2 linked regions of the Oryzias latipes genome follow. The protein of the gene in region 1 purifies or fractionates together with the protein of each later gene. This does not show direct contact. Links are inferred from orthologs where the notes say so. Each region holds a gene or a part of one and is shown in the gene's direction. Other genes may lie near its edges.

The links. The genes of interacting proteins can lie anywhere in the genome.
Region 2: the proteins of hspa12b (region 1) and eef2k purify together in Homo sapiens (affinity purification with mass spectrometry; 3 studies listed by BioGRID and IntAct, with this or other methods). This does not show direct contact. The link is inferred for Oryzias latipes from reciprocal best matches to the Homo sapiens genes HSPA12B and EEF2K.

What each region holds. Positions count from the first base shown.
Region 1 is NC_019876.2:13,101,205-13,108,577, reverse strand, and holds part of hspa12b (heat shock 70 kDa protein 12B), read left to right. Parts: intron 1-1,984; coding exon 1,985-2,071; intron 2,072-4,740; coding exon 4,741-4,845; intron 4,846-5,338; coding exon 5,339-5,597; intron 5,598-5,665; coding exon 5,666-5,769; intron 5,770-7,373.
Region 2 is NC_019877.2:13,147,471-13,154,843, reverse strand, and holds the end of eef2k (eukaryotic elongation factor 2 kinase), read left to right. Parts: intron 1-262; coding exon 263-412; intron 413-491; coding exon 492-624; intron 625-702; coding exon 703-830; intron 831-922; coding exon 923-1,118; intron 1,119-1,194; coding exon 1,195-1,259; intron 1,260-2,834; coding exon 2,835-2,912; intron 2,913-3,252; coding exon 3,253-3,309; intron 3,310-3,452; coding exon 3,453-3,518; intron 3,519-3,982; coding exon 3,983-4,114; intron 4,115-5,004; coding exon 5,005-5,193; intron 5,194-5,262; coding exon 5,263-5,387; intron 5,388-5,968; coding exon 5,969-6,147; intron 6,148-6,359; coding exon 6,360-6,469; 3' UTR 6,470-6,885; downstream 6,886-7,373. UniProt on the Homo sapiens protein: Threonine kinase that regulates protein synthesis by controlling the rate of peptide chain elongation.

The sequences.
Region 1 (7,373 bases):
AGGTTGTAAAGCGCTTATGAGCCTGTAGAGCAAAAATGTTCATGGACATTTCTTTCTGCGAGCATGCTGCGGGCGAAAGGTCGTAGAAAACACTTACGCAACATGTAAGGGTGATGTGGGTGAGACGCAGACATGTCATGTGGATTTCTCATTTTTTTCAATCCCCCCAACCCTGCACACGGTGCGTGGACCAGTGCTCCTTGTGTGGAACTGATGAGCTGATAGGGAGCACGTGAGCAGATCGTCAACCTGTAGGTGTGGGAGGTGAAGAGGATCCTGACAGAGCTGTGAATTGCTCTGCAGCTTAAACCATGCAAGCACACTTTCAACAGAAGCCATAGTTGCTACCGTGCACAACTTTTGCAACAAATGCTGAGGCCACCAGGGTTTCTTTGTTCAGAAGCCAACAACAAGAATAACTTGACAAATGTGTTCTTTCAAAACAGAGAAATGTTTTCTTTTGGCTTTAAAATAGGCTCTTACAGATATGTGTTTATATTTAGTCTCAAGTACCGTAGCTACCACAATCCGAGCTATGTTGTCAGGATTTAAGGTGCAACACAACTGAACCCCAAGGAGCAAAGATTAAAAGGAAAGAACGAGTTTATTTTCAGATGTTTAGTTGTGGACTGCTCTGGAGCCGTGCAGGAACTTGAGGCCAGAGAGACAGCCATCTATGTCTGGGATTTCTCAGATTATCTAATGAACACCAACTTGAGAAACTATACTAAGGTGGTAGGAAGGAGGAAAATGAGAGGTTGGAGAAGACAGAGGGGAGATCTGGCACGGGGCTTGAAGCGAGTGAAAGGATAGAGTCCAATGTGAAGATCTAGTTCAGGAGAGGGGAGACAGGGGGAATCCATAGGCTGGTCCAAGGCCTCAATCCAGAACAGCTCACAGCTGATGCAGAGGTACAGATGGGGTAAACCAAAATGTGGTCAGACACTAAACTGGTTCCAAAAACCACAAGAACAAGGCATTTTACACAGGCTTGTGTATTGACTTAACATGAGAAATGGACCAAGTGAGTGTGACATCACCCATAGAAAACAGCTTATCTCCTGCTCCAAAGTAGTGAAGTCTATCGAATTACAGTTGCTTTTTTTTGCCATGTTGGAGCCAGACATCGTTAGTAAGATGTCTGTCTCAGCCATTGATTCCATGGCAACAACTCTCACCAATCAGGAGTGAGCTTGTTGGAAAGCCGCACCCCTACCACTTGACAGCGAGTAAATCTGTCAATCAAATATTTAACCAAATGAACTATCCGGCGCGTGAACTGTGTGATGTCCTACCAGAAAAAATTAAGACTGCTGGGTTACTTACCACTCGCAGCCAACCCCGTAGGTCGGTTTTCCTAAAACAGAGAGCAAGACAGTGTATTGATTTTCATTTGTTGTTGTTGTTGTTTTTTTGTTTGTTTTTTTTGCATTCTATGTTTGTTTGTTGAGTATTTACATGATGACATAAAAAAAACAAAGTTTGCCTTCCAAAAGCTAGAGCACAGGACATCAAGCTATAACTGTTTTGTTAGCTCAGATACCTAACAGTTATTCCCTCAGTTATTACTGAGGTAATATCGGAGGTAACAGTTATTACCTCAGATAATAACAGATCTTTTGATCTGTTATTAAAGAGTTCCCAGTGGTCTTTTAATTATTATTAATCCAAAATCAAAAAACCTTGTGTTGTTTTCTAGGACTTAGTTTCTGCAGAGCAGCAGTAGTTTATTAGAAATGTATTCAAGCAGGGAGCTTGTGGTTTACCGTAGTTGCTTCTGCTTCACACCTAAAAGCTTTTTCTAACAGCTCACTTTTTTCCTCTGCTCCTGATTCATAACATTTTGAATAAAGGCATAATCAGAAATGCAATTTTAAGCTTGATTTTCTTTATCCATGTCCACCATCATTGGAAAAAATACAACAAGAACATGTTAAAAACACCAAAGATGCTTTATTTTTGGTGTTTTGTTTTGTATGTGCAGCGAGGGAGCAGCTGAGACGATCCAGACACAGCAGGACCTTCCTGGTGGAAAGCGGCACTGGAGAGCTGTGGTCCGAGCTGCAGACCGGTGAGTTCAGAGAGTTCCAACGGATCTTTCAAGCTTCAGATGGAGATGAATTTGACCTGTTGACTGTTTGGGCCACACACGTCTGCCTAGGGTGAAAAAGGGGGCAACTACAAAAGACTGCCGCCGCATTTCATCCAGATTCAGTCACCGTTGACATTCCTGAAAGATCTGCTGTTGGTTTGGAAGATCTTTTAGAATATAATATTGAAAAATGTTGCGTACTTGCAGAATATGTTGCACCACCACAACATTATTCTAACTACATACAAAAATGCAGACATAAAATCTTTCAATTTCCTGTGAAATGACAGCAGTGAATTATGTGAAAAACCCTGGTACAAAGGTAAAAAGGTGAAAGGAGCCCCCACCTCTGGACTCTATACCTATACAACTGATGGATTAAACGAAAGTCTAGTTTAATTTATTGTTTTTGCACATTTAAAACACAAGCAAGACAATGATTGAAAGGCAATAAAGTGATGGGAGAGGCAAAAAATACCAAAAGGCCTCCACCTAGTGTAAAATTCAATTCAATTCAATTCAATTTTATTTGTATAGCCCAAAATCACAACAACAGTCGTCTCGATGGGCTTCGAAGTAAAACATGAAATCAAAAGGATCACGAATACAAAGAGTTCAATAGAAAAATACTAAAATGAACTAACAAACTGACTAAGCTATACTGACATCCCTGCCCTTAGACCCCCCTTCGCGGTAAGGAAAAACTCCCAAAAAAACCGGATTCCGGAAAAAACGAAGAAACCTCAGGGGTGCCCACATGAAGGAGGGATCCTCCCCCAGGACGGACAGGCGATTTACCAGAAATCTTAGAGAAGAATTAACTTATCTAAATCTACAACTACATATATAAAAGTCCAGCAGACGAGCTTCATCCAGCCGTGGTTATCGGGACAGTCAAAGGCGCGAGTCGAGCCGGAGACAGGAACCACAGCCAGGTGTAGGAGCAGGAGCAGAGACGAGGTACTCGGTCAGGTACAGAGCAGAGACGAGCCAGAGATGAGCCAGAGGCAGGATCCACAGCCAGGTGTAGGAGCAGGAGCAAAGGCGAGGTAAACGGTCAGGAACTGGAGCACGGATGAGCCAACTGGAGTCTGGAAGCACTCCCACTCCCCAGGAGGGGAGAGGAAAAGAGGGACAATACATGAATCGCACTGCACCAAACAGAGGCATGGAGAACTAAATGATAAATTATGATCAAGAATAGAGGAGAGGAAGGGTAGAAGTAAAAAAGGAAAGAGGACAGAACCCCAGTGCACCATAGTTACCCCAGCTTCAACTTCTAGCAGCCTTTTAAAAGAAATAGTTATTATTAAGTTTAATTTAAACAAACTAACGCAGGAAAAAAAAAAAAACTATTGATAAGTATCAAGTATTAAAATAAAAGTTCAATCTGAATATTTAGGATGTCAAAGGTACATATTAAAAAATCGATCTAGTTCTGGGAGGGGAGTAACAGCAGTATAGGTAGAAAAGCAAAGATACCAATGAGATCACGTTGGTAAAAAAGGTCCAAATTGATCGAGACGTAGTCAAAGCTTTCTTCCTGTTGTGCTCGCCTTTGCCTTTTTATATACCAGTACATCTGCTGCAAACAAACAGACGTCACAAACCAGCTTCCACCACATCAGGTTAATTACAATTGGCTAAAGGTGATCCACAGCGAAAAAAGACTTTCTCTGTTAAACAGCATTTTCATTTATAATCTTAAATGTCAAATGAAAAATAAAAATATTGGTAAAAAAGAATCAGACTATGGTACTTTGGACCACAAAGTTAGTTGGATGATTCACGTTTTGATTCGTGGACCATTGTTGTTGTTGTTCACCTTTTAGCATCTCCCTCCACTGAATATTCATTGGACCAATTTGGATTAATTTTTTTAAAAGCCATGCAAGTGCAAGTCACTTTTTTTTGATGATTTTTAATTTTCACTTTTTTTCACAATATGGGGAAAAAAATCTTTTGTTTGAGTGATCTTCATGAAATTTCATACAAATCCTGCTGGCTTAAGTCTACAACTATGGCTGAAGTTTTGTTGACCTTTGACCTTAGGAAGATGGATCCCCCAAAAAAATGTACCTTTAGCACCTTCTACAAATGAAAATCCTCCTAGGAGTTTTGTTCTATCACCTCATCACTACTGATCCATCATTGGGAAGCTACATGGAAGAAGAAAAAAAACGTTGATAATAAAGTTTGTAGATTTTGAACGGCACGCTTGCAAAGGTTGGCGTTTCCCTGTTGCTCGTACATTTTTTACCAGAATATTGTGAAAGTGCAAAACATAGGATATGACATAGGATATGAACTGTGGGTGTGGTTAACAAAACACCTCAGTTGCCAAGGAAACCAAAAAATTAACTTTTGTAAGTTCTTTTAAAAATGACATAGACTTGTCCAAAAATGAAATGGTTGCTTGGAGACAGAATAGAAAAGCAGCCAAAATGTTTTTTTTCATGCATTTGTCACGTGCAGCTCTGATTTAGGGTGAAAGAGGCAGCGGGGGTAAGGACCGGTGGCCCCTGAGGAACACATGTTGCTCCGACTTTAATGTTTGCCGTTTTCATGCGATTCAACACATTTCAGCAGAAATCCCTTCATTTAAGCACAAGTTTAACAAGCTTGTTTTTGCTTCTTTTCTTGTGCAGGTGACAAGTATGTCGTTGCCGACTGTGGAGGAGGAACCGTGGACCTGACAGTCCATCAGATCGAGCAGCCGCAGGGGACGCTCAAAGAACTATACAAGGCTTCGGGTGCGACGCCTTTTCTAAGAAAGGATCTTTATTTTGTTTCTTTATTTTTTCAAACACAAATGAAAAAATCAACATGGTGGTTTTAGAGACATAAGACCATACAGTGTGTTTGGAAAGAAGTGGGTTGAAAAGGAATCTTGGATGATCGCACCCCTTTTCACAACACCCGATGATGTGCATAATTCAATTTACAGATATGTACAAAACGTTCATGGTACAATTTTTGCATGGCAATTGTGCAAAGTTACATTTTTTGTACAGTTTTTGTTTTTTAATCGTTTCTGGCCTTATATTGGTGATCTTTTGTAGGTTATTTTGAATATTTGTAAACCTTCATCCAATTCGTTCCATAAATCCACACCACAATTTGATAAACACATTTTCTTTTCTGTAGTGCGAATGCTCTGCTTTTTGAAATTCAGTTGTTTTCTTAGGTTTCTTAGATTTCTTAGATCTCCTTCAGCTTCCAATGCTGGGTTTGTTTGACCTCCAGGCGGCCCGTATGGAGCTGTTGGCGTGGATCTGGCCTTTGAAAACATGCTGTGCCAGATCTTTGGGGAGGACTTCATCCAGAGCTTCAAGGCGAAGCGGCCGGCGGCCTGGGTGGACCTCACCATCGCTTTTGAGGCGAGAAAACGGACGGCGTCGCCCGGCCGAGCCAACGCCCTCAACATCTCCCTGCCTTTCTCCTTCATCGACTTCTACAAGAGGCAAAGGGGCCAGAGCGTGGAGGCAGCGCTGAGGAGGAGCAAGTGAGTGGGAGGAGCATCATCTGGGTGTGACAGTGACCCCACCCCTGCTCACTGTGTTTGTGTGTTAGTATGAACATTGTGAAGTGGTCGTCCCAGGGGATGCTGCGGCTCACTCAGGAAGCCATGAACGAACTTTTCCAGCCGACCATCAACAACATAGTCAAACACATAGGTGAGAAACAGACGCAACACATGCACACACAAGACACAGGTGTTTACCTTTAGGGGAAGTGTTCTTCATTTACCCTGCTCAGCTTCGTTTTAAAGACCCCCTTTGATCGTTCTTTTAACTATACTAAAAGTGTTCTCAGTGGTCTTTGAATATGATTTTGCCATTTTTAAACAACACATTTTTTAAACCTGTCATTTTGGACATTGTTTCTGCAGAGCAACAAACGTTTATTAGAATTCCATCTCTGAGTTGTGGGCGAGACCAGTGACACAGGGCAACCCCCACCCCTTTTCCCCTCTCTGTTGCTGGGAACTTGTGGCCCACCCAGATGAAAAAAAAAGCTATTTTTCAATCTGCTCCTGATTCTCAAGAATTGCAACACAGAAACACTCAGAAGTTGAATTTTTAATTTATTTTATCTTTATAATTGTCCTCCGTCATCAGAAAAATACCAGAAGAACATATTAGACACCTAAAACACAATTTTCCTCTGTCTTTAAATTTAAAGGAAAGGTATAATTTCTGACAATTTTACCTTTTTTTCCCTAAGATTTATTACTTTAATCTTGGGTTTCTGACATTGTGACTTTTTCTTATTAAAAAAACAACAACTTTAATCCCACAATTTAGCCATCAGATCCTAAATTTTAGAGATACATCTCAGAATTTTTCCTTTTTTCTTTTAGATTTCTGACTTTGATCTTGAAAATCTACATTGAATTTTAGAATGTGGTTTATCTCATGTATTTGTGATCTTTAACTGGGACATTTTTAAAAAGAATGTCTAACCTAAATCCAAGAATTATCACATTGATCTTAAAGCTATGATTAAAATTCCAAGATGTTCGACTTCAATCTTACAAATTTTCATTTTCTTTTCTTTTCTACTCTTTATTCGTAATTGTACTTTTTCTATGGTTTTTGAAGCTAAACTACTAATTTTGCCTTTTTTCCACATTTGATTTAAAGAGTTTTTTTTTTATCTTAGAGCGAAATTAATCCCACAATTTACTACTTTGGTTTAACATTTTGAGTTATATCTCAGACATTTGGTCGAAATAGTTTAAATTTTGATCCAAGAATTCTGACTTAAATGTTAGAATTTAGATTTTTTTCTAATTTGCCAAAATTAAGATACCATTTTTCCATTAAAAAAATATTAAACTCATAGCTTTTTCCATTTTTACTTTCATCTCTGAGTTCTCACTTTAATCTCTAAAATTTCCAGGATTCAATCAGAATGTTTGATTTTTTAGGTTAAATTTTTGCCCTGGACTGCACGGTGGGGCAGTGGTTAGCGCTCTTGCCTCACAGCAAAAAGGCCCCTGGTTCAAGTCCCTGCAACAGAACATCAGTGGGGGACCTTTCTGTGTGGAGTTTGCATGTTCTCCCTGTGCATGTGTGGGTTTTCTACGGGGTCTCCGGGTTCCTCCCACTTTCCAAAAACATGCTTCATAAGTCAATTGGCAACTCTAAATTGTCCCTAGGTGTGAGAGTGAATGTGTGTGTGATTGTGGCCCTGTGACAGACTGGTGAACAGTCCAGGGTGTCCCCTGCCTTTGCCCACAAGTGACTGGGATAGGCTCCAGCAGCCCTGTGACCCT
Region 2 (7,373 bases), on another chromosome or scaffold:
TCATGAATTATGATCAACATAATTGCATGTAACTTTTTGCTGTTTTTCATCATTTTTGAGCTGTGGAATGTAAAGACTGTGAAGAAAATGTTCTTTTTTAGGAACCGCTTAAACCTGAATCAGTCAGTTTTTTTGTTCATAATCAGACTAAAGATCAGAGATTTCAGCTTTTATTATTCAAAACGAATGTGCCAACCTTTTTAGCAAACACAACCCACAGATTCTGTGCCTTTTTATTTATTATGCGTTTGTATTTTTTTAGGTTGACATCATGCAGATGTGTGTGGTGGAGATGACAAACAGACCCGGCAAACCTCTGTTCCACCTAGAGCATTACATCGAGGGCAAGTACATTAAATACAACTCCAACTCTGGCTTTGTCAGGGACGACAACATCCGACTCACTCCACAGGTGAGCGGCTGTCTCCTGGTACATTTGAACTCAGATGACATTGCTTTAAAAAGAAATGTCCTTTTTTTCCGTCTTGCAGGCTTTCAGTCACTTCACCTTTGAGCGCTCGGGCCACCAGCTGATCGTGGTGGACATCCAGGGAGTGGGAGATTTGTACACGGACCCCCAGATCCACACGGAGAAGGGGACTGACTTCGGAGATGGGAATCTAGGTATCCGTTTGTTTGGGAAAACTGCTGTTGAACTATAGTGGGCCAGGAAGATGGGATCTGAGAAGACCTGTGTTCCAGGTGTGCGGGGCATGGCTCTGTTCTTCCACTCCCACATGTGCAACAAGATCTGCAAGAGCATGGGCCTGACGCCGTTCGACCTTTCCCCGGAAGAAATGTCCCAGCTGGACGGCACCAACAAACTTCTTGTAATTCAAAACGTTTTAAAACTCAGTGCAAGAACAGTGGGTTGTGTTCTGAGGTTTGTTAATTCTCTTTCTCTTTATTTTTTGGTTTTAAGAAAAGCGCACAGACGGTGCTGAGGGGCTGCGAGGAGCAGTGCGGCTCGCCCCGAGTTCGGACCTGGTCTGCCAGCCGGGCGCCGCCGCTCTTCTCTCGCCTGTCCGAGACGTCATCTGCAGACGAGAGCATGAGCGACGCCGAGTCCATCCCCTGTTCACCTCTTAATCCCCCCTTCACAGCAGTCGGATCTCTGGGTGAGTCACTCTATGTGATTTAGCGTTAGCACATCCAGCTGAGAATAAATGTTTGAATCCTTAATGCATTTTCCAGGCTTATCTTTTACTGGAATGAATGAACATGAACGATTCAGCAATAACAACCAAGGGGAACACAAGGTGAGTTCTAACTGACCTGCAGAGATTTTTAGCTGGTTTTAAAAAAAGAAAAAAATACTCTAAAAAGCACAAAATTCACAAACAGCACAGAACTAAAGGAGGCACAAAATGAAATGAATTTCCTGGAAGTACAAACCACCAGCAGAAAATTATGTTTAATCTCACAGAAAATAAACTAATTATCTGCCCTCATGTCAGATTAAGAAGTGTTTTTGTTGGTCAGGCCTCGATTTGTAAAAGGCGACTTAATGCAGTTTATGATTTTTGTTTAATATTAGTAATGATGTTTGATTCTAATTGTTTTTGTCTAAGTACTGGAGCTCAGTAATGGTTTCATGTGCGTTTAGATAGCAGTTTTGTGAGAGCAAACCAAAATATTAAGGTTTATCCCATGCAAGTTTTTCACTGCATTCCGTAAGAATAAGTAGTACACTTAAAGTTGATTTTATTAAGTATCACAGCCCCATTCACTCATGCACACATATTCAAACACTGACTTCATGCTGGTGCAAACCTTAAACCGTCAGGAATAATGTTGTTGTCCTGCCAAAGGACACTTCAACACACATGTTGCAGGAACTGAACCATCAATCTTCTGATGGGAGGTTGACCGCTTTACATTTTTACCATAGCAAGTATACTATAGATCATGTGCTTGTAGTGTAGAAAAAAATACTTACTGAAAAAATACTAACTGAATACAGAATAAATTGGCACATTTTAAATTTACAAATGAAATATAAAAACTAAACTTTAAGAATACTGCCTCACTTTTAGTATTGACTAAGTATACTTGTAGTACATGTAATAGACTACTTTTTGCTGAGGGATCCTGCAATCTGTTCCTTGATGCAATATTCTAATGATAGTTGCTGTGACAGGTTGGGTTCACGGTCTCTTATTTGCATTGTTTTTCCTACTCAAACAAAGGGGTTATGGCAGTTCAACCCGTGTCGAGCTCACAGAGATCCATTTGTTTACACTCCTCCAACAAGCAGTTTGCTCTTCTTGCACAACACGTACAGGCCCCCTGCTAATCTGCTGAAATGCGGTCATCACATGAGGCCAGCACAACAATGTGTGCGTTCACGAGTGCTGCAGACAAAGCTCTCAGCCAGCAGCACGGTTTGTGTAACACTTTGTTCACACAAAACAAATCTGCTGTCTGCTGTGACTTTTATCTCTTTCTGAGTCACAAAACTACCGCAAAAATGTTATCTGGTGGGGGCTTTAACCTACTTTTGTGGGTGTCTTTCTGTCTTATAATTTTCCTGTCAAAGCATAAAGCTGTTATTTGAGGCGCGTTTTGAACGTAAAGGGAAAAAAAACACTGAATATCAGTTGCAAACTACATCGTTCTTTTTCATGTGACCTTCATGTAGTAACATATCTGAATAAATTGTAAACACTGCCACCAAGTGGCGGAAGATGGCAACAACAGGTGCCTCTTTGTGTATGAGTTTGTTGCCAAGAATCCAACAGGAGAAAACAATTAGGTTAATAATAATTAGGTTTTATGTTTGATTTTTTTTTTTTACAAGTTCTCAGTTGTTATTTCATTTTTTGTTTTGTCAGGAATCAGAAAGCGGTGGAGACAGCGGCTACCCTAGTGAGAGGAGGAGCGAACCAGACTCCAGCGACCACATGGATGGGGTAAACATCTATGCATCCTTTTTTTTTAATTACAGCTGAACCAATCCTGGGGTTTTACTGGCTGAACCTCAAAAATGCACTGAAATTCTTTTTTTTTATGGTAGAATTTGTTTTTATCAAGACATTTGAAAAGCCTAAATGTATATTTAAAGCTAATTTTTTTTAATTAATTTAGAAAGTTTACTTAAACTTGTAGAAATACTCCACATGATCAAAATATATTGTGTCAGGCTAACTTTTCTTCACTTTTTGAAGTTTTTAGACTCTTTTCCAGGTTCTTAACTCATACCAGCTTTAAGGGCAGGACGTTTTTTGTGATGCATGTCATATATTGTCATAGGTGCACCAGCGCTACCACAGACCTTACTCAGAGTCGGATGAGGACAGTATCAGACGGGTAAACAAGTTTTTAGATCTTTCCTCCCTCTTCGGCCATAATCATCAATCACCTTTCTATCGTTCCTTTTTTCCTCATCACCTCCTCAAGCCTTTTTTTCTTCTAACTTAGTTCCCCATTTTTTTTCATTTTCTCCTCACCAGAAGAAGATGGTAGCTCCTCCAAGAGTCTCTGCAAACTTTAACTCATGCAGTCCCATCTATGAAGCGGTGATTATTTGCACGGAGGCTTTTAAAAGTAGTTGCTTTGGAAGCAGCTCTGTGCCATTTTGCTCCTCTCAAGCTCTATGTTTGCTGGAAAATCCATTAAGATGTACACTATTTTTTTGATTTGCTGCTGCTTCCTTGTCAGCTTTTGTCAATCTGTAGCTTGTAAAAAACATATTCAAATTTTCAGAGAAACCAAAATATATTTGGAGCTGAAACAGCATCTACCTCAAATTGAGCAAATTTTCCATTTTTAATGACAGGTACCAGCTTTGTGTGTTTTTTGTGCGTCATGCTGCTTACAACTTCATGTCACATGATTGAAGTGTTGTGTCATCTCTCTGTTAAAGCTCCAGCTGGATGGGTGTGCCCCAGAGTGGGATGTAATTATCTGATGACTAAAAAGGGTGATTACTTTTTAAAAAAAAATCTTCTTCCATCTTTTCTCCCATCTGTTTTCACTCCAGCTGACAGATGAGAAATGGAGCTTCTTCCATTCGTCTCGCTCTCATGTCCACCGCCCTTCCTGTGTGGCGACAGAAGTGGAGCGCCTCAACACTCTGCTGCAGAAAAAGATTGGACAGTCAAATCTGGGAAAGGTAGGAGCCTGAAAAAAATCAATTAGCTCTGATGGAAATACTACTGCAAAAAAAAAAACAAATATATGATAAAAGACGAAGCATTTTTTTCTATTTTTATCTCAAATAAAGTTATATACAGTCATTAGAGCATCTTGAGATGTTTTCCTTCAAACAAAATGAACTTTTTGTTGCAAAACAAATCCAAAAGATCCATCGAAATGCTCAAATTTTCTAGAAATTTCAAGTAAAAATGGATTGTTGGGGTTAAAAATCTGTATTGTAAAGCATTCATCGAATAATAGTTCATGTTTTCCATTTATGCATTATTTAAACAGCATGGTTCAAACAAATGTTATTTTTTTATTACTATTTTAATGAGGTTGCCTAGCAACTACTTTAGTTAAACGACACAACAGTAAGTTAAGGCTATGCCATCATCTGTAGTGGAAAAAATAAATGTAAAACGCATTAAGCAGATCAGAATTAATAGCATAAAGTGCAAACAACAGCATGTAAATTAGAAATACAAAAATCGTAAAAGAAAGAAAACTAAATACTAAAAATGTAAATATGGGAAATGTTTTTTCAAGTGGAGGCAAATGTCTAAAGACGCACACATCTACAGCAAACTCACCAAACAGAACACCTTGTAATAAAATCAACAAATGTACCTATTAATATAGAAACAGATGAAAGTAGAATTCCTCAAATTTAAAGATTAATAACACAAACTGATTCTTATTCTTTATATAAATATTTTTTATAAATGATACAAAGACGTTTGAGGGGAGAAAAACAAATTTAAAACCCAGCTGTTAAAATCGGCGTTTTGTTAAAATTGTTCAGAAAGTCTTGTGTCAAATCCTGATTGAAAGTGTTTTTGACCTTTTACTACTTTGACCTCTCAGGTCCATCTGGCCATGGTCCGGTACCACGAAGCGGGGCGCTTCTGCGAGAAGGACGAGCAGTGGGATGAGAGCTCCGCCATGTTCCACCTGGAGAGAGCGGCGCTGTGTGGGGAGCTGGAGGCCATCGTAGCCTTAGGACAGTGTTACCTCCGGTTACCGCATCACATACTGCCTGACATGGAGTTGGAGGTAAGCTGAATTTTACCGCTGGGCCTCCTGTTAGGGGTTACAGCTCTGACAGGTTTGGTTTGTTGGCAGGACAACGCTGGGAACCGGATGAAAGGTTTCAAATATCTGCTGCAGGCCGCTGAAGCTGGAGACAGATCCTCCATGATCATAGTGGCCAGAGCCTTTGATAGTGGAATCAATCTGTCGGCTGACAGGTCAGTTTGGATTTATGCTCAGAACTCAAGAAAAAGAGTCCTGCGAAGCTGCGGACACACCGGGAATGTAAACAAGAGAACATATTTAGCTCGTTCTTGAACACGCGCCTGGCTCATAGTGTTCATACTGAGCTAGCAGGGAGGGGCTTCCTTTTTTTTCCTTCCTTTTTCTGTGTTTACTAAAGCATGTTTATTCCAATGCATGAAAGATTCAATTCCAGTCAGACACTAACCACAACTATTATTTTTCCTCCATGATCAATTTTGAAACAAATTAAAAGGGATGCCATCCACACGTCACTTCCAAACCTGAGTCTCTGATTGGTCAAAGTTCAACCTGGTTTAACTTGCAATGTGCGTTCAATGGCCGCGTGTTTTGACCTGAAATGGTTCTAGCTACGGAAGCCCGAAATGCACGTTTACATCGACTTTTCAGTGGAAGCAGACACGTGTGAATGTAGCTTTACAGAAGTGGTGAAACACTGCCCTCTGTTGGGGTTGTAGAGTTTTTATGATTAATGATTTTTATACTTTCACACTTTTTTTTTTTTGTAATAAGTTATTTTTGTTTTTTCCTGCAGAAAACAAGACTGGGCTGAAGCAATTCACTGGTACGACAGTGCGCTGAACATGTCGGACTTTGACGAAGGCGGGGAGTTCGACGGCACGCAGGATGAGCCGCGATACCTGCTGCTGGCCAGAGAAGCGGAAATGTACCAGAAGGGGGGCCACAACCTGGCTGCAGACCCTCAGAGAGCAGGTCTGAGCCCAGACTGTTAAGGGAGAATATCAAAAACTCTAGAGAGACTTTGATATTTCCAATCTGAAGGGAACAGAATAAACGTTATTACAACCCTGCTACTGTGTGAATGCAAAGCTTCATATGTACAGACTTCCACTCATAGCTATGGTCATTTAGTCAGTCTTGTGACCTGCGTCTGTAACATTTTCCCTCCCTTTGTGTCTCTGCAGGTGACCTGTTCACAGAGGCTGCAGAAGCCGCCATGGCGGCCATGAAAGGTCGCCTGGCCAACCAGTACTACATGAAAGCTGAAGAGGCCTGGGCAGAAGTTGAGGAGTAACTAAAGAGGTGGCAATATTTTCTGTTTGACTTTTTGTCGCTTATTTTTTAATTAATTTAGCTTAACGCTTGAATGATTTTGGATAATATAAATTTTATGGCAGAATTTTTGCTGTTGCCGGTTTGGGTGTGTGAGTGAGTGCTAAGCCGCTGATGATCATTCTTGTTTTGTTTTTTTTTATCTCTTCAAATGTGAAAGTAATCATCCTGACCTCTTTTCTCTCTCATTTCCTGTCTTTGGTTAATTTAAATGAATACGGTTGTGTAAAAAAAAAAAGGTTATTTACAAAAAAAATGGAACAAAGAAGACTGTTTACTTATCTTTCTTTAATAAACGTTTATGCATTTATGTCTGAAAGATGTATGTGCAAAATATGTACAAGAATTTAAAAATAAAGTTTGCATTGGTTTATATGAGCCATGCTTCCTTTGTGATCATTCCCTTCATTTGTAATTGAGTTATTTGTAGTTTCTGTGAGAAACAAAGCCACTTTTGAATTTTCTATAAAATCTCTCCTTTTCATCTTCCTCAATAAAACCAAAGCACACAAAAAAAAGTCATGGACTACATCCATAATTCTTCTGTTTTGCTCATCTTCTGGGACTCCAAAATCTTCAACAAACCATCTCAATCTGCTTGATTGATTTAATTTAGATTAGTTAAGTTTATGAATTTATAGCTGAGGTGCAACGATAGAAGATAAACTATGTAAAGGTTTTTATATTCCTGCTGACATCCTGAGGCCTTGATTGTTCTACTCTTCCTCCAGAGTGCACTGATTTAAAATATATTGATTGAAAAGTTGGATATTTTTCTGATTTCTCAGTTTATGAGCTTAAATCGCATATTTTCTTAGGCTGCATAATTTTTTCCTTTTTCTTTCTATCAAATCATAAACTAATTG